Linked DNA regions of Drosophila melanogaster. The protein of the gene in region 1 interacts with the protein of each later gene in a pairwise test. Each region holds a gene or a part of one and is shown in the gene's direction. Other genes may lie near its edges. The genes, in order: Syt12, Pex3, ninaD and EMC5.

Evidence for each region.
Region 2: the proteins of Syt12 (region 1) and Pex3 interact in a two-hybrid assay, tested with the Drosophila melanogaster proteins (one large-scale study listed by BioGRID).
Region 3: the proteins of Syt12 (region 1) and ninaD interact in a two-hybrid assay, tested with the Drosophila melanogaster proteins (one large-scale study listed by BioGRID).
Region 4: the proteins of Syt12 (region 1) and EMC5 interact in a two-hybrid assay, tested with the Drosophila melanogaster proteins (one large-scale study listed by BioGRID).

The regions. Positions count from the first base shown.
Region 1 is NC_004354.4:13,357,095-13,363,031, forward strand, and holds the start of Syt12 (synaptotagmin 12), read left to right. Parts: upstream 1-2,153; 5' UTR 2,154-2,343; intron 2,344-5,937.
Region 2 is NT_037436.4:15,141,894-15,147,632, forward strand, and holds Pex3 (peroxin 3), read left to right. Parts: upstream 1-2,461; 5' UTR 2,462-2,656; intron 2,657-2,775; 5' UTR 2,776-2,888; coding exon 2,889-4,046; 3' UTR 4,047-4,486; downstream 4,487-5,739. Other genes in the region: Pdi (protein disulfide isomerase), read right to left, coding at 407-560; CG32147 (uncharacterized protein), read right to left, coding at 1,356-1,817, 1,904-2,116.
Region 3 is NT_033779.5:18,079,727-18,085,401, forward strand, and holds ninaD (neither inactivation nor afterpotential D), read left to right. Parts: upstream 1-1,901; 5' UTR 1,902-1,938; coding exon 1,939-2,067; intron 2,068-2,126; coding exon 2,127-2,429; intron 2,430-2,497; coding exon 2,498-3,309; coding exon of another isoform or gene 3,310-3,313; exon of another isoform or gene 3,314-3,370; intron 3,371-3,372; coding exon 3,373-3,463; intron 3,464-3,527; coding exon 3,528-3,734; 3' UTR 3,735-3,882; downstream 3,883-5,675. Other genes in the region: Arr1 (arrestin 1), read left to right, coding at 231-360, 421-468; CG31741 (uncharacterized protein), read left to right, coding at 4,542-4,970, 5,100-5,675.
Region 4 is NT_033779.5:18,986,187-18,990,124, forward strand, and holds EMC5 (ER membrane protein complex subunit 5), read left to right. Parts: upstream 1-1,520; 5' UTR 1,521-1,602; coding exon 1,603-1,684; intron 1,685-1,749; coding exon 1,750-1,802; intron 1,803-1,870; coding exon 1,871-2,065; 3' UTR 2,066-2,107; downstream 2,108-3,938. Other genes in the region: Swip-1 (Swiprosin-1), read right to left, coding at 486-724; CG15170 (uncharacterized protein), read right to left, coding at 2,108-3,585, 3,767-3,901.

The DNA.
Region 1 (5,937 bases):
AAAATGGAAAATGGGGGGTACTTTGCCGTTATTTGTATGGCCTAAAACTTTTTCGTAATGCCCGATCTGTTCGGGGCGGGGGGGTTGTGGGGTGTTGTGTGGGGTCTGGTTGGTTTCGGAAAAGCCTGTTTGCAAATTCAATTGAAATTGCATTTGAAATCATTTCGGCATTTGGCATTATTATACATACTATACAGTGGCACTCACAACATAGTTGCTGTTTGTGTTAGTCGCAATTTACCACAATTTGTACAATTTATTTGCTTTCCCTTTGACTCTTCAACTCGGGAATGCCCCTTTGTTTTTCTGTTTTCTGGTTTTTATTTTTATTTATTTATTTTTTTTATTTGATTCGGTTGCATTTCATTTGCAATTTAGACCTTTTCATTTTTGCGACCCCAGCACTCGTTTTTATTGTTTCATTTTAGCCTGAAATGCGGTTTTCCTTTTCCTATTTTATTTCTCTCATTTTATTTCATTTTATTGTGTTGTATTTTTTTTTTATTTTTTTTTTTTTTGATTTTCTGCCCACCAAGATTTGACCGACAATCGAGAATATCGAGCATCGTGGCTATAGCCCCCTTGTCCGGTGGAAATATCGTTCGCCAAAGTGTCGATTGAAAGCAATTTGATTTGGCGAACAATCTGCTGATTGCTGCTGTCAGAGGAATTGCGAAATAATTCTGTGAAAATTATCCAAACTGAGTGTGCTTTTAATCGTTAGTGGTTTTTTTTCTCATTTTTTTTTTCTTGTATTCAGCATTTTCATTGCGGCGTGGCTCAGCTGGGGATTGGGATATATGCCTTTCGCCTTTTTGGCATTTCGGCAGTGCCAAAAATTGCGTAATGGCCGCAAAATCAAAATGCGGCAAGTTGCAAAATGTGAAATTTATTAGGCGCTTCGGGGCAACGAGAGAGCGAGAGATGTAAAAACATTTCGCGCCGAGCATCCTTTGGGGAGTCACGCTAGATTGACCACGAATTAAAGCCATTATCGGCCGAAAGGCCGACCCTTGTGTGTGTGTATCTATCTATTATTCAGGTTTTCGAGAACTCACCCCCCTTCCCCCCCCCCGCTGCACCCCACCGCCGTTTACCCTGCAAGCCGAGAGGAGTGACGGAAGGCACCCCCATTCCCCTACCCGCACCTATCATTCTTTTAGTTTTTCATTCTCCTGCTTTCTTAATCCGCTTAAAGCGATTCGGATTCGGCAAATGTTAAAATTCCAGGATTAGGGATTGCAGTAACATTGAGTAAGGTCAAACTGTTCTATAGCTTGCGATCCACAAAAGTTACTCCATGACCAACAGGCAGGGGAAGTGGCTAACAGTTGGGGGAAAGTAGCCGAAGTATCGCTGTTACCGGAAATGGGCATGCTGTACAACGGCATTGCCAAATGGGAAAAGTATAACAGTTACGATATATGTTATATGCCTTCCAAGCCGATTTCAGCCCCTTCGTAGGACAGATATGCGCCGCACGTGTTTTTGGTGGAAGTCGTGACACGAGCGAACTGGAAAATATCGCCTAGAACATATTATTCTTATTCGTATATTCTTATTAAAATATTATGAATTCAGTACAGACTTCGAAAACATTAATATTCTAAGATGCGCTTGTTTTCTAAGTAGATTTACGCATTCTTACAATTTATTTACGTATGTAAAAACATTATATGCCCAAAGAACATATTTTTTAGTTAATTTTATACTTTTAAGCACATTTTAAACAAGAGTAATTCTTTTAAAACGTTTTGTAATAAATTTGGTAGTTAATTATTAGAAAGTACAAGTTCTTTAAGATAAATACATTTAAATAGCAGAAAATTTCGCCATAAAAAGCTCGCTTCTATCATTTATCATCACCGTTTTATGGATAAACCTAAGTCGCATTTATGGCGTTTTCCTTTAATTTTATAGAATTTAGGTGAAGTTTTGGCTGTGCCCTTAGATTATGGTGCATTTATAGCATTCGCCAATAGTTAACCTTTGTGTCAAAGCTTGTCCCAAAAGCTCGCCTTTTTTTGCCGACGCAAAGTTCGTTAGAAAGGACGAAGCTTGCATTGTTTTCAAAACGAAAGCTTAAAGCTGCAAAAACGCATATCAAAGAGAAAGTGGAGCAAAGTTGTTGCTGTGTTTTGACCAGCTTTCCCCCAGTTGGCCGCGAGTTTTGGCACCGAACGGTCTACGAAAATGAGCGAATTTTCCGCCCGCACTTCCGCTTCCTGCTCTTCCTCTTTCCGCAGCGTTACTACTTGTTATTATTTGTATTGTTAAATCAGAGTGATAAACTAATATATTTGCCATTTAAATGTGGCCAAATGATCAGCAAGGATAAGTAAGGTAAGCAATTGCTAGTTCTTCTTCTGTTCCGTTCTGTTCTGTTTTGTTTTGTTTGGTAAAAGTGCGAGTGGGAAAAATGCAGGAAAATCCAAATGAGCTGCGTTTCGGTGTGTCTGTGTGCGTTGCTCTAGATTTTTGGCCTTTTATCTTGAGCCTCCATCTCCCTGGCTCTTTCCCATTTCTGATTACTTTGACTTTCGCCCGCTTTTCACTCTCCATTTCACAGTGAAAAGTTTTTTGATTTCTGCTCTTTGTTTTTTTTTCGATGGAAATGGAAAATGGGGTAAGGGCTACAGTTGTCACTCGCCGAACGTGACTGGCGTTCACTTTTCACAGCTTGTCCCATTTCTGATGGCCCAAAAGAGGTCATCTCTGGCTAATTCGGTGCGACACTTTCAGGCCCAAAACCAAATATAGTGTATATAGCATATATATATGGTATATGCGCATACATACATATACATATATCAGTTATCGGAGGAGCCTGCGTGAGTGTGTGTGTTTGTGTGCACCTGCAGCAACAAAAGACAGAGCAAAGAGCCAGTGGAATGACCTCCCAGTAGGTTAATGAAAAGTGGCACTTCAGCTGGCTGCTGCCTCTTGGCCCGGCTAAAAGTTCTTCTAAGCCACAAGCGTTGTGCTACCAACTTGGCCCTACTAAACTAGCCAAATTTTAATGGCCAATTACGACTGAAATTACCGACAGTTTCACCAAATATAATGCTCTTTTTACTGCCTTCTGAAGGGCATTGCTTTATGAGGATTATAAAACAGATTGTGTATTTTCTGTTTTATTTTGTAAGTTTATCGCAGCTAAGAACACCTCTAATTAAAGAGCATCTCAAATCTGAAATCCTTTTAATTTGTTATTGAGTTGCAATCAAATAATATTGTTAAAAATGGAAATTAACATTGCTACAGCTGCAACTCTAGTTTCTTTTAAGCAATTACATAGTAAATCCTTTCTCGTATTACACGGTATCTAATAGGCTACCCTATGCTTTGGTAAATTAATGTAATGCTCTTTTACCCAAGGCATGTATGTATAATTAAACCGATTTAATTCCCAGCTCAATGAACTGGATACGATGCATCTCCGAGCAAATTAATGAGTACAGAGTAGAGAAAATAAATAATCAGGCTTAATGGATCTGGCAATATACAGTGCAGCTTCCCTAAAAGAAATATGCGATAATTCAGTTCCAAATCACAAAGTTAATTAACAATACTAAAAACACATTTTGGATGATTTATGGAAACTAATTTCGAAATTTTGGATAAAAATTTCCAAAAAATTTTAAAATAATTACATTTTTCAAAAATGCAATATCTAAGAATGGTTTTTTGGGTATAACTTCACTAAAAATGGTCATAGAGCAAAACGAATTAACATTTTATGCTCCCTATTACCGATACTAACCATTCCTATCACTTTTTAACGGATTTTGTAAAATTTATTTTTGGCCAAATTTTCGCATTTTTTGTAAGGGGTAACATCATCAAAATTTGCAAAAAATTGAAAAATCCTAGAATTCCCAAATTTGAATGCAAATCGATTGGGATTCAAAAAACAAACTCAACGAGGCATGACATTCCATATTTGGATTATTATTTTCAATGTTTTGATTAAAATACCGATTAGTTTTTTTACAAAAAATCAGGGAAACCATTTTTCCAAAAATTGAAATAATTAAGATCGGTTTTTTGGGTATAACTTGGTTAAAAATGCCCTCACAGCAAAAAGAATTACCATTTTATGCTCCCTATTACCAATACTAACCATCCCTATCACTTTTTAACGGATTTTGTAAAATAATTTTTTGGCCAAATTTTCGCATTTTTTGTAAGGGGTAACATCATCAAAATTTGCAAAAAATTGAAAAATCCTAGAATTCCCAAATTTGAATGCAAATCGATTGGGATTCAAAAAACAAACTCAACGAGGCATGACATTCCATATTTGGATTATTATTTTCAATGTTTTGATTAAAATACCGATTAGTTTTTTTACAAAAAATCAGGGAAACCATTTTTCCAAAAATTGAAATAATTAAGATCGGTTTTTTGGGTATAACTTGGTTAAAAATGCCCTCACAGCAAAAAGAATTACCATTTTATGCTCCCTATTACCAATACTAACCATCCCTATCACTTTTTAACGGATTTTGCAAAATTTATTTTTGGCCAAATTTTCGCATTTTTTGTAAGGGGTAACATCATTAAAATTTGCGAAAAATTGAAAAATCCTAGAATTCCCAAACTTAAATGCAAATCGATTGGGATTCAAAAAACAAACTCAACGAGGTATGACATTCCATATTTGGGCCATTATTTCCCATGTTTTGATCAAAATACCGAATATTTTATCACAAAAAATCTGGGAAACTATTTTTGGCAAAAAACTCAATTTTCAAGTTGGCTCTTTTGGCTATAACTTGACTAAAAATGGTCACAGAGCAAAAATTAGTACCATTTTATACTCCTTATAACCAATACTAACCACCCCTTTCACTTTTTAACTGATTTAGTAAAATTTATTTTTGGCCAAATTTTCGCATTTTTTGTAAGGGGTAACATCATCAAAATTTGCAAAAAATTGAAAAATCCTAGAATTCCCAAACTTGAATGCAAATCGATTGGGATTCAAAAAACAAACTCAACGAGGTATGACATTCCATATTTGGATTATTATTTTCAATGTTTTGATTAAAATACCGATTAGTTTTTTTACAAAAAATCAGGGAAACCATTTTTCCAAAAATTGAAATAATTAAGATCGGTTTTTTGGGTATAACTTGGTTAAAAATGCCCTCACAGCAAAAAGAATTACCATTTTATGCTCCCTATTACCAATACTAACCATCCCTATCACTTTTGAACGGATTTTGTAAAATAATTTTTTGGCCAAATTTTCGCATTTTTTGTAAGGGGTAACATCATCAAAATTTGCAAAAAATGGCGAAAAATTAGAATTTTCCTTTTTGAATACAGTTCGGTTAGGAATTTAATTACGAGTTCAACGAGGTATGATATTCCATATTTGGATCATTCTTTCAAAAGTTCTGAACAAAAAACTGATTTTTTTTTGCAATAAATCAAGGGAATGATTTTTGGACAAAAATGCAGTTATGTGTTCACTGCGAAGAGGTTTGACTGTAATCCGTCATAAGTCCCGAGTTACCTAAGCTCGTTGAGTGCCTGACGTGGCATCAGTCCCTTGCGGATGATAAGGTGGATGATAAAGAGATTCGGAGGTCTGTCAACGGAATGATCCATGACAATGGTCGCGTTGGACCAACCTCCTCCACATCCGCAGCACTTCTACGAGCATGGCGTGTCACCCCTTCTGGTGGCCGCCGCTTTGAAGTGGCAATGCTGCGTCTTCGGTTACAAATTCAATTGAGAAACTGTCAAAGTTTGTGATTGAGAACGAGAACGAGCACCTGTACACGCCCCCCCAAAAGAAAACCCCACACACACACACACACACACACGCACCCACATCGCAATGATGAGGCAAATTGCTCAGTGTAAAGCGATGCGAGATGAAAGTGTTTTTCAAATCTCTAGAATGCCATGCCTCCCATCTATACC
Region 2 (5,739 bases), on another chromosome or scaffold:
GAGATGGCACTTGCGTTTGAGAGAGCGCGCTCCTCCCTGCCCGTCACAAAAAAAACACAAGATGACGCGAGAGAGATAAAAACAGTTAAACAAACGATAAATTTGCTGGAAAATCAACTAAACAAATTTTCCAGGCCGCCGATTGGAACTAGTCTGTCAGTTGGCCCATTGATCAACTAGGATTTGCCGTGCAACATGATAGTCCAGATTTCAAGTCAACAACAACTGCCACGCAGACAGATTTTCTCCGACGCTTTGAAAGACCACGTAGCCGCTAAGCCGCATGAATCAGCGGGTGCGAGTGAGAGCGCGCTAGCGGCCGGCGCATTTCGCATTTTGATATTCGATTTTTGCCACATTTTGTTGAGATTTTCGTGCCTTATTTTCGATCTAAGCATGTACTTACAGAACTCGACCAGCACGAACTCGTTGTCGGCAATCAGCTGCTTGAAGTTGTCCACCGTCGCCACCAGAACACCCTCCTCAACTTTGACCTCCGCCTCGGCGGAAGCGGCCACGTAGGACGCCGCCAAGAAAAGTGCACAGATCAGGAATTTCATTGCGGGCACTCGTCGTCGTTTGATATTTATTGAATCTATTGCCCTATGTGGGTGCAGCACACTCGCCAACCAAAACTGGGATTCGAACTGCGCTGAACTTGCCCGGTTGCAAGTAGAAATTCAAATGAATTCAAGTGACAGTGAAACGCAGAGATATATACATATAAAGCTGAATTAGGTGAGGGATTTTTGGTATTTCTCTACAAGTTTCCGATAAATTTTACTAATATCGATATTTGTCAATGAATGAGCATTGAACTGTAGGTGGCGCTTGGGTGCCCAAAGGTTGGCAATCGTCGAAGGTAAATTTTTTTAGTTTAGGATCTCGTTTATATATTTGAAGTTTTATTTTTATATTTAACTAATTCAGTAATGTACTATTTTTTTTTTAAATATTACGGTTTTTTCGAATACCATAATTTTAAAATATTGTGATATAAATAGTATCGTATTGTATTGTATATAAGTTAACTTGTATTTAACATAAGGCAATTTGTAAAGGCCTTATAATTCTTCTTTTTAATTCATTTTTTTTATTAAATTTTATTTTAAATAACTTACGTCATTCTCTTTATGTCATTTACCCTTTTTAAAATAAAGACTGGTGTTGTGTAAACGCAAAAAAGACTGTGTAATTATTAATGCAGTTGTATTGCTTCTCTGTTTCATTGTAATAAAAAGTAAATATAAAATATTGTATCTTAAAAAGAATAAAACTCATTTCTTAAACAACTTAACAGCACACATGTAAATAATTCTTAAAAAGACAGATATTGGAAGAATATTTTGCGGAATTCAGGAGTCAAAAGCGACCACCTGTTGAATGCATTGTTCGACTATGCTAAAAAGTATTTCCGAAGTCTTAACACTACTAAATGGCCTATCTACAGGAGGTACATGGACAAACAGGCTTCGTTTTCTGTCCATATCGAGCGATTTCAGATAGATATAGCCGCAGAGAAAGTCACCCACATTTTTGGATGCCTTTGTGGCGCTCAGGGATTTGAGATTATCATTATGTGTCGGCTGTTGTGTGGGTCCCACACAATCGGCGCAATTCTCATTTACAACCGCCACAATCTTATCCACATCTAATTCGGTCTTCAAGACATTTGCATGTCCATTGTTGGGTAGTTCGCAAGTGCCGTTGGCCAGTTTTTTATCACAATTATCAGCTCGGCGGAACTTGTGATTGTACGCCAGCTTCTCGATGTATACACACTTGGCAACGCCCGAAACACCGACATGGATAACAAGCTGTTTTTTTTTTGTTTTTTATTTTTTTGGGAGAAAGATGATATCATAAGGCCTCTATCTATTTATGGTTCAATTGCGATGCTTACATATGGCTGGCGTTTCCAAATCTCCGCCACCGCCTCGTCCACAGCCCCGTATTCCACCGAAACCAACCGCTTTTCCAGATCATATTCTATGCCATCGTGAGTTAGGATTTCCGGCAGCAGTTTCACAGCTTCCCAGCTGGCGTTGACCGCTTCGTGACCGAGAAATGGACCAAATCCGGAGACTACAATGAGCTTTCGATCTGACGACGCCATAACAAACACCCCAACTAAACTAAACCCCCCACCAACAACAGAACTATCTTAAATACCATATGATTTCTATCTTCTTCTTCACCCTTTGAATCATGCGTTTCAAATGTTTGCGACGATGGCGGAACGGTGGAAATTGGAGCATATCGAAGTTTTTTATTTTTCGTCATTTATAGGTGAATTAACATTATTTTATATTTTCTATTTTTTTTTGAACCCACTTCGAAATAACGAAAAAATAAATAACTAAAAAGCATCCCCATTTTCAATAAAAATTTAAACAGTAACACCAAATATACTAAACGAAATGGTATTTTTCGGTATTCCCGAACCTCGCACTTTTGGGATTTTTCTTGAACGGAAACAGACGACGCAGTATGCGGCACCAAACAGAGAAATAACACATTTAGCGACAACAACAAAGGATAAATCCATTCCATACATTCCAGAGCTAGATCCGATCCAAAGGCCAGCAATCGACCCGATAAGGCGGCGCACCAGATCCGAGTTTCCGAGCAGGGGTATATAGGTGAGCACTACCTGGTAATCTAATCGCTGCGGATGAGTGGAGGACGCTCCTCTGTTGGCAGCGACGCCGGCAGCGCACCACCCTACGCACACAGGTGAACTTTGCACATTAACTATTTATTAACCTCGAACAGGTCGCCGGTGGAGCGGGAAAAAGTGGGATATCTGAACAGCAGTTGGCCTATTTCACACAGGAAGCGGATTCTAGTTGTCCATCCGGCAGAAGAGGCCTTTTCCAATCGTTAACATGCTGTCGCGCCTGCAGGACTTCTTGTCACGCCACCGGCGAAAGTTCATAGTGACCGGCGTTCTGGTGGGCGGTACCATCTTTGCGGCACGTTATGCACAACGGCGATTCGTGGAGTTCCAGGAGAAACAGGCCAGGGAATTCTTCGAGAGAACGCGGCGCACGACCCACTTTGAGTCGACGGAGAAGACGTGTAACCAGGTGATCCTAGGCATGGGCGAGGAGATGTGCCAAGCGGTTCTGAGGGAGTGCAGCACGGACGAGCTGCTCGAGCAGCTGCGCCAGAATCCCAAGAACAAGTTGGAACTTTGGGAGGACATGAAAATTGTGGCATTCACAAGACTGGCAACCTATGTCTACGCCTCCTCCATGCTGGTTATTGCGTTGAGGGTCCAGCTAAATCTTCTCGGTGGCTACATCTATCGGGACATCATGACGGAACAAAAACAAGTCACCGACGAGCTAAAGCAGCAGTATCTCTCCCTCATCCGACACTTTATCACGGATTCGGGCATCCGGGACTTAGCCCGTTACATTCGCACCCAGGTCATCGCAGTCACCAAGACCATACCGCTCTCCGAACAGCTTTCCCTTAGCGACCTGGAGCAACTGTTTTGGTCACTGCAAATGGCCATCAATGCGGACACTCGTCGGGATCCCAACTCGCGAATGAGCAAGTATCTGCTGCCCAGCCAGAATCCCAGTCATTCGCCGCTGCTGCAAAAGATGGTCAACGAGACGCTGGATCTGTTGGAGAGCGAGGATGCCGTTGGCGTGTGCTCGCACAATGTAAGCCGTGGTTTTGTGCTGGCCTGCGATGCCATCGCCGAAAGCATGGGCGAAACTTTGCAGCATCTGCCACAAGCTAAAGTCCAAACGCAGCAAGAACAGAGCGTCAAGTTTAACCAGGCAGGAAGCTTAGGCGCCAGCACCTCGAAGAGCCAAAACGGTCTGGAGAACAATAACTTGCTGAACATCAACCGAGTGCTGTTGGCGTTGGCAAAGCTCATTCCTATCATCAGTGGTCTCACCTCGAGAGGCTTCGATACCACTTCGCGACCCCACAATCTGCCCACCCAACTGCTAACCTTCTACGTGGTCGCCGAGAAGACAAAGACGCTGGGGGCCAACGTCTACGAAAGCTTTAGCTCCGCTTAGAGGATCAACAAAACTTGGATTATGCATCCGTGCATAGGCTAGGCTAAGACAATTGGAAAATTATAGTTTATATACTTGTATATTTTTAATAAGATCTGTATTCTCAGAAGCATTGTTTGTATGTCTGCTTGAACCCAACCCGTATTAGGTTTAGCTTCGTCCACGGGGAATCCTTTCAGGGCAGGGACACAAATCGAGTAACGTGAAGGCCTTTTAATCTAAATGGAAAGTTAGGAAATGCAACATATGAGAGAATCATATAGGATGGACCTGAGGGTAGTTTAGTATCCAAACTATATGAAAATGTAATTTAAAGTGTAATTGATTAATAGAATGATAAGTGACAGATTATTTATTTATACCATGCTAGAAAGCTTGGGTCTTAATCTTAAAGGAAGTGTAAACAAATGGCAACCTAATAAACTATGCATTCCCCGTATTTAAAGACTATTATTTTGCATATTAAAGTTTTTGAAGGAACTTATTCTTTTTATTCTTACAGCTAATTAAAACAGATATTGATTTATAGAATGATAAATTATACATGCGTACATAGGTGCATACTTGTATTGAATTAATAAGAAATAAATTCAATAATTATGTCGGAGATATACGAGATTCTTATATACTTTTTCCTCCAAGTTTCTAACAGTTTGCGGTTTTAAATGTACATAATATATTAATTTAGTAACGGAGCAACGGTTATCTGATAATCGGGGAACTCGACTATAGCATTCTCTCTTGTTATAAATGCTTAATATGTATAAAAATATAAGAATTGAATTATCGAAGACACAACCCACAAGTAACGGTTGTCTTTGCTATCAGTCAAAAGGGGGTGGCAGAAAACCGCCCTGTGATAAGACAGCTGTGTCTGTGGCTTTTGTTTGTTTGCCATTTCTCTTGTTCTTGCCGCTCTCTCCCTTGTTCACTCTCTTCAAGCACTTGCGCAGAAATGCCGCATGTGCGAAGATTCATTATAATATAACAATTATGAATAACTATCAAGCAGAAAGTAACTTAAAAGATTTCATAAATTGAACCAAGTTTATGCTTAAGGAGGTGAAAGTAATTAGATACATTTACATCACGCTCGCCCCTCTGCGACTTGTTCGCTCTCGCAGGACTCTCTCTTCACATCCGTCTCTCTTACTCCTTCGGGTGCCCAGCTGTCTGGTACAAAATTTCCATTTTGGGCGCAGTTGCAAAAGTTACGTGAAAAGGCAAAGGACAACAGTTACTTTTATACATCCCTGCGAGACTTTGCGTATGTGTTGGTGTAAAAAAAATAATTAAATATACAAAAATGAAAGAAATGCATTGAATAACTGATTCGAAGCCAAGTTAAAACCGAGTGTGCAAATATGAGAAATACTGCAAAAAGTACACAAATTGGAAAAGCCAGCTAAAGGAGGAAAGCCCACCGTCAAACAAACAAACAACAACAACGGCGGCTCAATTGTGTAAGTGCACTTGCAAAATGTTTATTAACCAGTCGATGGGGCTAAAAGCCCACTTAGCCCATCAACTTTTTACTAGCCGACCACAAAATATATTGATTAAGACAAAGAGAAAACTGAACATGAAAATCAAAAGGCCACATGAGCACATGTGAGCGAAAAAGACAGACACAGCGGTATATTGGTAACGGGACAGACAGTGCGTGCGTACAGTGGTGTGGGAGGGGGCTGCA
Region 3 (5,675 bases), on another chromosome or scaffold:
AGTAAAATTTATTCACATCATAGCTTAGCAGATGAAACATTAATATTATACTCTATTAAGTATCAACTTAAAATCATACCATAAAATCAATCAAATTTTAAAGTTAGGAACCTTTTTAAAAATCGTATTTTCCCGGTGACTAACAGTTCTTTAGCTAAATGTGTTTACAAAATGGCATAAAACGCATACTAATACTAAGTGAAAAATGCATATTTAAAATTCTATTTCAGTATTGCCAGTCAGGATGCGAGGGATGCCTTTGGCATAATTGTTTCATATGCTGTGAAGGTCAAGCTTTTCTTGGGAGCCCTGGGCGGCGAGCTCTGCGCTGAGCTACCATTTATTCTGATGCACCCGAAGGTAATAAAAGGTGTGCCCAAATATTTGAATAGTTATTGAAAGGCAATCAATTATTTACAGCCAAGTCGCAAGGCCCAACTGGAAGCCGAGGGCTCCATTGAGGCCTAAACTGAAAGGGCTACCTCAACCAACGAAAAAAATGGCGTATTTCTACAAGTCAAACCGATTTTTGTAGATCCTAAAAAATGCTGATGTTGCTGAAATGTTCTGAACTGCAGTCGTCGTACTTTTCCTATATAGCAAATCCAATATCCATATATTGTATGTGTGTATGTGTATTATATTTATAACTCAACTAACAATTAAATATGAACAGAGTTTATGTATGTATTTTGGAGTATTCTATTGAATTTAGCACGGTGTATTTGAAAAGGCTCCAGCATTGAAAGTTTGTATGGAATGCGCACTAAATATTTAATAATGTGCTTACGAAGGCATTTCGTAGTATTTGATATCTTGCAATGTCTGCTGATTATGTACATTGAAGTGCAATGGGGAAATCAACAGAAGCCAGTGCAATCTATTCAATTACTAATAGTGGGTCTTGCATTTGTGGCTTAGTAATTCCAATTATTGCTACTCTGAAAAGCCGAGGAGCAGCCTAATTAATACTTGGCCACTATGCTGGAGGAAGTTTACTGAACTGAATTCGAGTAAGGAAAATGGACAATAATTGATATAATATGGTGAGCTTCTTGCTGGACTTTGAAATCGTAAAATTTAAGCGAACACACTTCAAACGCATCCATTTAATTTGTGAATGTTTGCAGTCCCACTTTTAATAAGCACCCAATATTAACGATAACGCCACTCTAATCAAAATTTTCCAATAGTCAGGGTTGAAATACTGATCAATCACGCTGCCAACATTTCGGCAGACCAGGTGGGTAATGAGTTTAAAATGGTTTTGCGTAATGGGATTAATCGAATTTCATTAAGGAAGATTAGATTGCCGTCTTTGGAAGTGATCTTTTATAGTGGCTGACCATAAAAATTGCATTGCAAATACTAATTTAAGCATACATGCTATATAACCGATAAGATGGGCGAGCGTCAAGGCAAAAATAGTTGACCGTATTAATAGTTTAATCAACTAGCTTCAAGTTAATTTATAATGCGAATTAGGAAGCACTCTGGCATGCTATTAAAAACTTAAGAACTGATAAACGAAACTTAATTCCTAAAATAAAAATGTACCTAATTACTTTTATATACTATTATAAATAAAATTGTACCATGTATCGTTAAATTTGATTTAGTTACCAAGTGGTATTTGGTACGTGGCAGCATGAAATAGCTACTACTGCTAGTCTGGCTGATTAGCCAGCACTCTCAATAAACTAAGTGCAGCGTTTTGCATTTATCAGGATTTTTGGTACTCTAAACACACACTTAGATCCCAATCACCCCACAGAATAAGTTGAGCAAACCAAACCGAGCTGATTACCACAGTAGACATGATGATTAGCCGCTGCTTTATTTACTAGTGGATAATCTACTAAGCGACGCATGAATAAAAACTCGAGCGATATTTTTCCACTTTGCAGTCGCTCGAAAGCCTTTGTTTCGTCTCTCAATATGTGCTGCAGCTGCTGTGGGGTGACCCAACAAAAGGCCTGGGTCTTCGGCCTGGGAACCTTTTTCGCGGTCTCCGGACTCCTGGCCATAATATGCTGGCCTGGCTTTATAGACTCAGGGATTATGAAGGTGAGAGGCGGTGTATAAAAATAAAATTAAGGAGGAGTACTAATCGATTTATTAAAAAGGCCTTGCCGTTGACACCCACTTCAAAGACTTTTGAAAAATGGGAGGAGCTGCCCATTCCGGTGTATGTCTACATGTATCTTTGGAACTGGACAAATGCCGCAGATGTGCAGGCTAATGGAGTAAAACCTATTTTCGCGCAACTTGGACCCTATGTTTATCGAGAGGAGAGGAAGAAGATGGATCTTGAGTGGCACGACAATGGCACAGTTACCTTTAACCCCAGAAGAACTTGGTTCTGGGAAGAGGAGCTCTCTGGCGGCAAGCAAACGGATTTAATTACCGCCCCACATTTACCTTCATTGGTAGGAAATAAGCAGTTATTAAAAAACAATTTGGTCTAAAAGAAGTTTTCCTTTTTCACTTTTTGCAGGCTGCTTCAAACCAAATGCGGAATAGCAACGTCTTCCTGAAATTCATGTTCAACGAGGCCCTAAATGCGAATGGTGGACATCTCTTTGTGACCCACACGGCAGCTGAATGGCTGTTCGAAAGTTTCTACGACGAATTTTTGCATTACGCCATGACCCTGAATAATCCATTGGTCCCAAAAATCGAGTCGGATCACTTTGCCTGGTTCCTCAACCGTAACGGATCGAAGGACTTCGAGGGTCCCTTCACTGTACACACCGGAGTGGGTGACATCAAGGAGATGGGTGAAATTAAGTATTGGAAGGGCCAGAATCACACGGGATGGTACGATGGAGAATGTGGACGTCTCAATGGCAGCACCACGGATCTTTTTGTGCCCGATGAGCCCAAGGAGAAGGCTTTGACCATCTTCATTCCGGATACTTGTCGGATCATAAATCTTGAGTTCACCGGACAGAGCGAAACAATTCAGGGCATCACGGGTTGGAAGTACGAGATAACGCCGAATACCTTCGACAATGGACAGATCAATGGTAACGCGAAGTGCTGGTGTCCTTTGGAGCGCCAGCCAGATAATTGTCCTGCAACCGGAGCCACTGACCTAGGACCGTGTGCCGATGGAGTTCCCATGTACCTTTCTGCGGATCATTTTATGTACGCGGACGAAAGTTATGGCAGCACGATAAGCGGCTACAATCCGAATTACGATCAAAATAACTTTTATATCATCATGGAGCGCAAGATGGGAGTGCCGTTGAAGGTCAATGCCAATGTGATGATTACCTTGTACATAGAGCCAGACAGCGTTATAGAGTAATTATTTACAATAATTGTTGCCTACCATATATATGACTTGATAAACACATTTTTTCCTAGCATACTGAAGGGCCTGCCCAGCTTCTATGCACCACTTTTTACCACTGCTAGTCGAGCGGAAATCGACGAAGCCCTCGCCTCAGAACTTAGGGTATGTTTTAGAGCTTGTTGAACTACGTTGATTTCTATTTTAAATAATGCATTTTGTCTTTTAGTTGGCACTGAATCTACCGGCTATAGGGAGATATACTGGAGTGGGATTCCTGTGCCTGGGCTGCATTCTTATAGCAGTTGGCATCTTACTTACCATTAAGAGGAAGTGGTATGGCCAGGCCGAGTTGGACAAACTGGCTCTCAAGGATAACGAGGAAACTCCATATGAACCGGAAGTTCCGGCCAACGTGGTCGAACGAAACTTTTAATTTAGTATTAACATTTTTTTTAATGAGCAGCACACGGATGTGATTCAAAAAACATATATGTGATAAATAACTCTAAACATTTTTTATTCTAGCTTTAAAATATAAAACTTCTAAACAACTGAAAAAATTAATAAAATTTAAAAAACTCATATAACTATTGTCTTCATTTTACAATAATTAAATTAGTTAAAGCTTATATTTATCTATGTGGTTTTTTAAATGATTGAGTGAATGAATTTATAGAAGCTTGTACACAAATTTAAATAGGCTCTTTAAATAAAGGTTTTATTTTAGAACATTTTTTAATTGTTTTTAAAATTAAAATTCAAACATCATCTGTGTGTCTTTTTTAGTTTATAATTAATTCATATACACAAAAGAAAAAGAAAATTAAATAAAATCATTAAAATTAAGATTTAAAAAACTCAACAAATTTGTATAATAGTTATGTGATTCCTATACCTATTTAAACGATTTCGTATCTCAGTTGTATTTTCTTTTTTACAGTGCATCTAATGATTTATCTAATGAGTGAAACGAAATATAATCACAAAACTTCGTATAACATTTAACTCAGGCCGTAAAACAAGCCACTTGAAAAAGCTTTCGGAGATTAGCCTATCAGAAGCGTTCCAAGTGGAGAATTCAAAACAAATATAAAAATAAAAAAATCACCTGTTAATTTGCTCTTGAAATCTAATCTTGCATTCCCATTATTGAACATCAATGTATCCCAAAAGTGGGCTCGCTTATAAATATCCCCGTTTAAATTGCTTGACGTACCAGTATCGAAATCGATCGGAGGCGATGCGTTGTGGTTGCTGCAGTGTGCGCCAGCAAAAGATCTGGGTCTTCTCCATGGGAGGCCTGATCCTGGCAATTGGGATTTTTCTGGCCTCAGCCTGGCCAGCCGTATCTCGGCAATGGATTCGAAGTCTTTTGCCCCTGGCTCCCAACTCTTTTATCTACAATCGCTGGGTGACTACGCCCACGCCGGTATATAGCACAGTTTTCCTCTTCAACTGGACTAATCCGGGGGATTTGAACACCGAGGGCGTTAAGCCGCACTTTGAGCAGCTGGGGCCTTACACTTTCAGTGACTTTAAGGTCAAGGAAGATTTGGAATGGAATCAGCCCCAGGTGACCTACTTCGGCAAACGTACCTGGCATTTTCTACCGGAAAAGTCAAATGGATCGCTTGATGATGTAGTTATAGCCCCACACTTTCCTACTTTGGTAAGTCTGATTAAAGGTTGAGTGCTATGCTATTTGACGGCAAAACTTACATTAAGAATACCGAATATCTCTGTCCGAATATCTGTCGCCACATCCAGTAATCCCCTCTAATCCCGCTATACGCTTTAGACAGCTGCTTTGTACTCGCGCCGATTGCGCCGCATCCTGCGCAAGGTCATGAACTTTACTCTCAATCGCGAAGGCGGCGCCACCCATATGACCCACACAGCTGGCCAGTGGCTCTTTGATGGCTATTATGACCATCTGCTTGACTTCGTGGAGCAGCTGCATTCGCCCCTGCTCCCGGTTTACGACAACACCTTTGGCTGGTTCTACGAGAGGAATAACTCAAAGACGGCCGAGGGAAACTTTACACTGCACACTGGCCGTGGGGATCTCAGCCAGTTGGGAGATCTGCTCCTGTGGAATGGAGAGAACACCACCGGCTTTTATCCCGGCGAATGCGGCAAGGTCAATGGCAGCACGGGGGAACTCTGGTCGCCGTACAGGACGTGGGATCAGCCCACCACCATATTCCTACCAGATGCAGCGCGGTACTTGAACTTGTTTCCAAAGGAAAATCTCACCATAGACGGCATTGATGTCTGGCGATACGAGTCCACCAATCTCACCATCGATAATGGCCAGCTGTCGCCGGACACTGAGTGCTTTTGCCTCAAGAATCGCGAGTGCCCGCGCAACGGA
Region 4 (3,938 bases), on another chromosome or scaffold:
CATGCCCCATTGCCCAGGGGGGCAGGGGAGGGGTGGGTTGGCTGCAGGAGGGGCTGCAGTAAATGCAATTTAAATGATCATTAGGCGCATGAGTTTTATGTTGCCATTTAATGAGACGCAAATGCGGTGAGATGCCTGGGAAAGTGGCCGTTGCAGGTGAAAGGAGTGTAAAGGTTGGCGCAAATTGAAAGCCCTAAAATAGTTTTGCAAACTGATTTCTGTTTTTGAATTATCTTGTGTAATAGATATACATTTACAAACGTTTGTAATGTATACAAGTGTGTCTAGTACACTGTATTTATTTAATAATCTAGAGATGATCGTTACTTATCATAAACTATTATTATTGCAACGGATTTTGCTCAGGTGTTTTCAAAAACAATAAACAAAATGTTGGCTTCCTTTTCGCCATATTAATATAATTTATATTGCGCCTTAAAGTGGCTCTGGACAAAAGTAAATATTGCTCGGCGGCCTTCACTTACGTATTGAAGGTCTTCTGGTAGTCCTTGATCTGGTTACGGGAGAACTCGGGGAAGTCGGTGTAGACGTTGACCACTTTGTAGGTGCGACGCACCTCGATGCCCGCCTCCTGGGACTCCATGATCTCCTGGCGCCGATTGAGGATGTGCGTCAGCTCGGAGCTGTCCGTGTTGGTGGTGCTGCTGGGGCTGTCCACGCTGTCCTTGTTGGAGGCGGATGAGGCGTTCGAGGAAACGGACATTGTGTCGCTCCTTGTTGACTCGCTTTTTAGTGTGCTGGAATTTCCCTTTCTGCCCTTTTCTGCTGCCTTCTCACTCTCTCTTCCTTTTGGCACACCCACGCAAAAAGGACCGTAAAAGAGATGTCCGGATACACACACAAATGCGGCGATGCGCCAGGAAAACACACACGGACTCGTTGCACGTAAGCTTTTGTCGTGGGGAGTGGCCCTGAGTCCTTTTTTGGCTTTGAAAAAACAGTTGCAAGGTGCGTTTGAATTGCCGGTCTTTTTTTTTTTTTTTGCTGCAAATTGGCTTTCTTATTGGACAACTGGTGTTCCGCTTCGACCGCCGCGACTACCGAATCTTCTGAACGCTGAGAGACGAATGAAAGTGCGACCGTGACACGAGCGTTCAAATATACCAGCGGGCGCGGCGGCATTTTTCGAGTGACCGTGTGCTGACAAATACCAAAGTCAGCTGAATTTCGAGGCAATATATATACCTTACAATTTTTTTAATTCATTCTGTTACTAATAATGTATATAATCATTATTTAAAGCTAGCTGATGAACAGACGGTTTCAAATTTTACGAAAGTTTTTAACTTTCTTAAGCAAAATATGTAACCGAATATTTATTGTATGTTTATATAGTTATAATATAATTATATAATTAGTTTGATCACAAAATCAATCTTTGTATAATTTTAATGTTGTTCCCAATAAAATATTTAAATTTAAGATTCTTAAATATATTACGGCATATGAGGTATACAGACAACCCTAAACTATCGTCCAAAGCTCCCAGCCCTAGGTGTGCCCGCATTTTGATAGCAATTTAGCAAAATTTTGTAGAAAATTGTACCGACTGTGATTGTAATTCGTAATTGTTCAATAAAAATGGGCAGTAAACTGTTTAACAAACTCTTGCTAATTGCCGGATTTGCCAGCCTGGCACATGCTGCTTTTTCTGCTGCCCATCGTAAGTTTTCGTCACTGTTGTGGTAAATAAACTTTGGACCACTAAGTGCCGCATTTACTCCACAGATCGCACCTATTTGAGGCTGACGGAGCAGGAATGGAATAGCCTTCCATTGGACGTAGGTTTCGGTGCATTTAGGGTGCTTGCATGGTTACTCACGAAAAGTTTTCCTTTATCAATCCTTAGATTATCCTGCAGACCGTCATCAGTTTGGTGATTGTGATTTACAACATCATCGAGATCGTTGGCAACTTCAAGGAAATTCGCGCCACCGTGGACATGCAACAGAAAACTTGGGACACCTTGGGCAACTTCCCCTCGTTCTATTCCTTCAATCACCGTGGTCGTGCCTTAAATCCTGGATATACGCCCCCGGAATAAGAGACCTTTCTTTTAAGTTCTGCTATCCTTTTATTTATAGTCTCAGCAAGTTACAATATAGATAACGCTAAAGATCAACCAAACTCCGTAACCTGCATTCGAAAATTTGATGGATATTGCGGAACTCTTGCCTTGCAACAAGGACAATGCCTTGGCCTCCAGCTCATAGCTGGCTCTTAATTCCCGGCCAGGACTATTATTGCATGCCTGACTGTGACAAGTGCGACAACTGTCGAAGTGGTTACTCCTTAAGAGACATTCGTAGTATAGCTCGGGATTGGAACGACATCCTCTTACAATTTCTTTACTGTTGATGTCAAAGTACTCCAAGCAGGCCAATTCTTGATCCTCCGGCTCATTTGCTCGAGCCGGACAAGGCATAGCCGTTTGTCCCCTGGAGATCTCCTCGCAGTCCTGCACTCCCCTACACTGATGACACCAGAGGCGCTCCTCCGGAAATGATCCTTTGTTGCAGAAACTTCCTTCGCATAGTCGACAACTGGCCACATTTGCGGAAGCACAGCTGAAGTCCGATTTTTGGCAACCTCTCGCAGTGGTGGCGTTGTTAAAGGAAACAACCACACATGGTGCAGCCGGTTCATCGCATTCTTCAATGTAGATTTCGCCAGGACTTTCCCAATTTGCACAGCCTGCTCCCGCTTGATCCGTGCTGCATTGGTAGCACCGGGTGAAATCCTTACTATTACACCCAGCGCCTTCATCGCATTCATAGCACTTGGTGATTTGAGGATTTTCCGGCGGTGCTCCACAGCCTCGCTGAATACTCCAGTTGGAGTACTCACAGGAGAAACAGGAAGAGGCCTCAGCGGAGCTACAAGTGCTATTAGCTATAGCCGTAATATTTGTCCGGCAAAGTTCCTGATCCACGGAGTTGCATGTAAAACACTTCTGCTGCGTAATGCATCCTGCGTTGCAGTGGTCACTGGTATTACACTTTTCTAATTGCTCTACATACGGCTCCAAATCTGTTGGAATTTTAGTAGAACATCCTCTGACAACGCGGCTTAGTCTGCGAAAGCTGAAGCAGTACTTATCCTCTTGCTCACCCAACAGAACATCCTGCTGGCATTCCTCGTATAAGCTAACATTGCACCTGCCGGTGTTGACCTGAAAGAGATCTATCTTGCAACCCCGGCCGATTGCTGAATCGCAGGTGGCGCAGACTTGGGTCCAAGCTCCTTGCTCCTCATTGCAGCCATTGATCTCACACAGTTGGGCGGAAGTGGACAGCGTGTGATTCTGCTCGGAGGTACAACCTCTGTAGGCATCTGAAGAACTTATGACATCCGTGTAGCACTGATCCTCTTCCAAATGATAGCGACAGGGTTTTGGTTTGGATGCTGGAGCTGCCACGCATTCCTGTCCAGCGCAATGATGGCACTTAAGTCGTCCCGGCGGATAGACACCCGCATTGCACAGGTTCGTTGAGCAAGTCTTTGAGTAAGTCGCTCCGATGATGGGGGTTTCTGCTCCGCAGCCGCGGTATGTAATGGAGTCCACTAATTTGTGTGCGATTAATGGTATAGAAAATCGGAGTTACTAAATATTTCAAATATGTATCAATCAATATCAATGGTCTTTACCTTTGAAATATTAATGAATTGCAAAAATAGATTCTATAAAATGGCCGACTATCCGTCGATTTAGAAACAATTACAAATCACATTTAGGTTCACTTACCAATGGACATGGCACACGTCAGCTCGGTAGCGCACTCCTTGTAGGGAAGAACTCCCACTTCTCCGAGGGTCTGGGAACATTCCGGCAGGGCAATGGAATCGCAGTGGTAGCAAACAATGCCAAAACAACGGTCTGCTATTAAAAAAAAAAACCCCTCTAAGGTTACAACGCA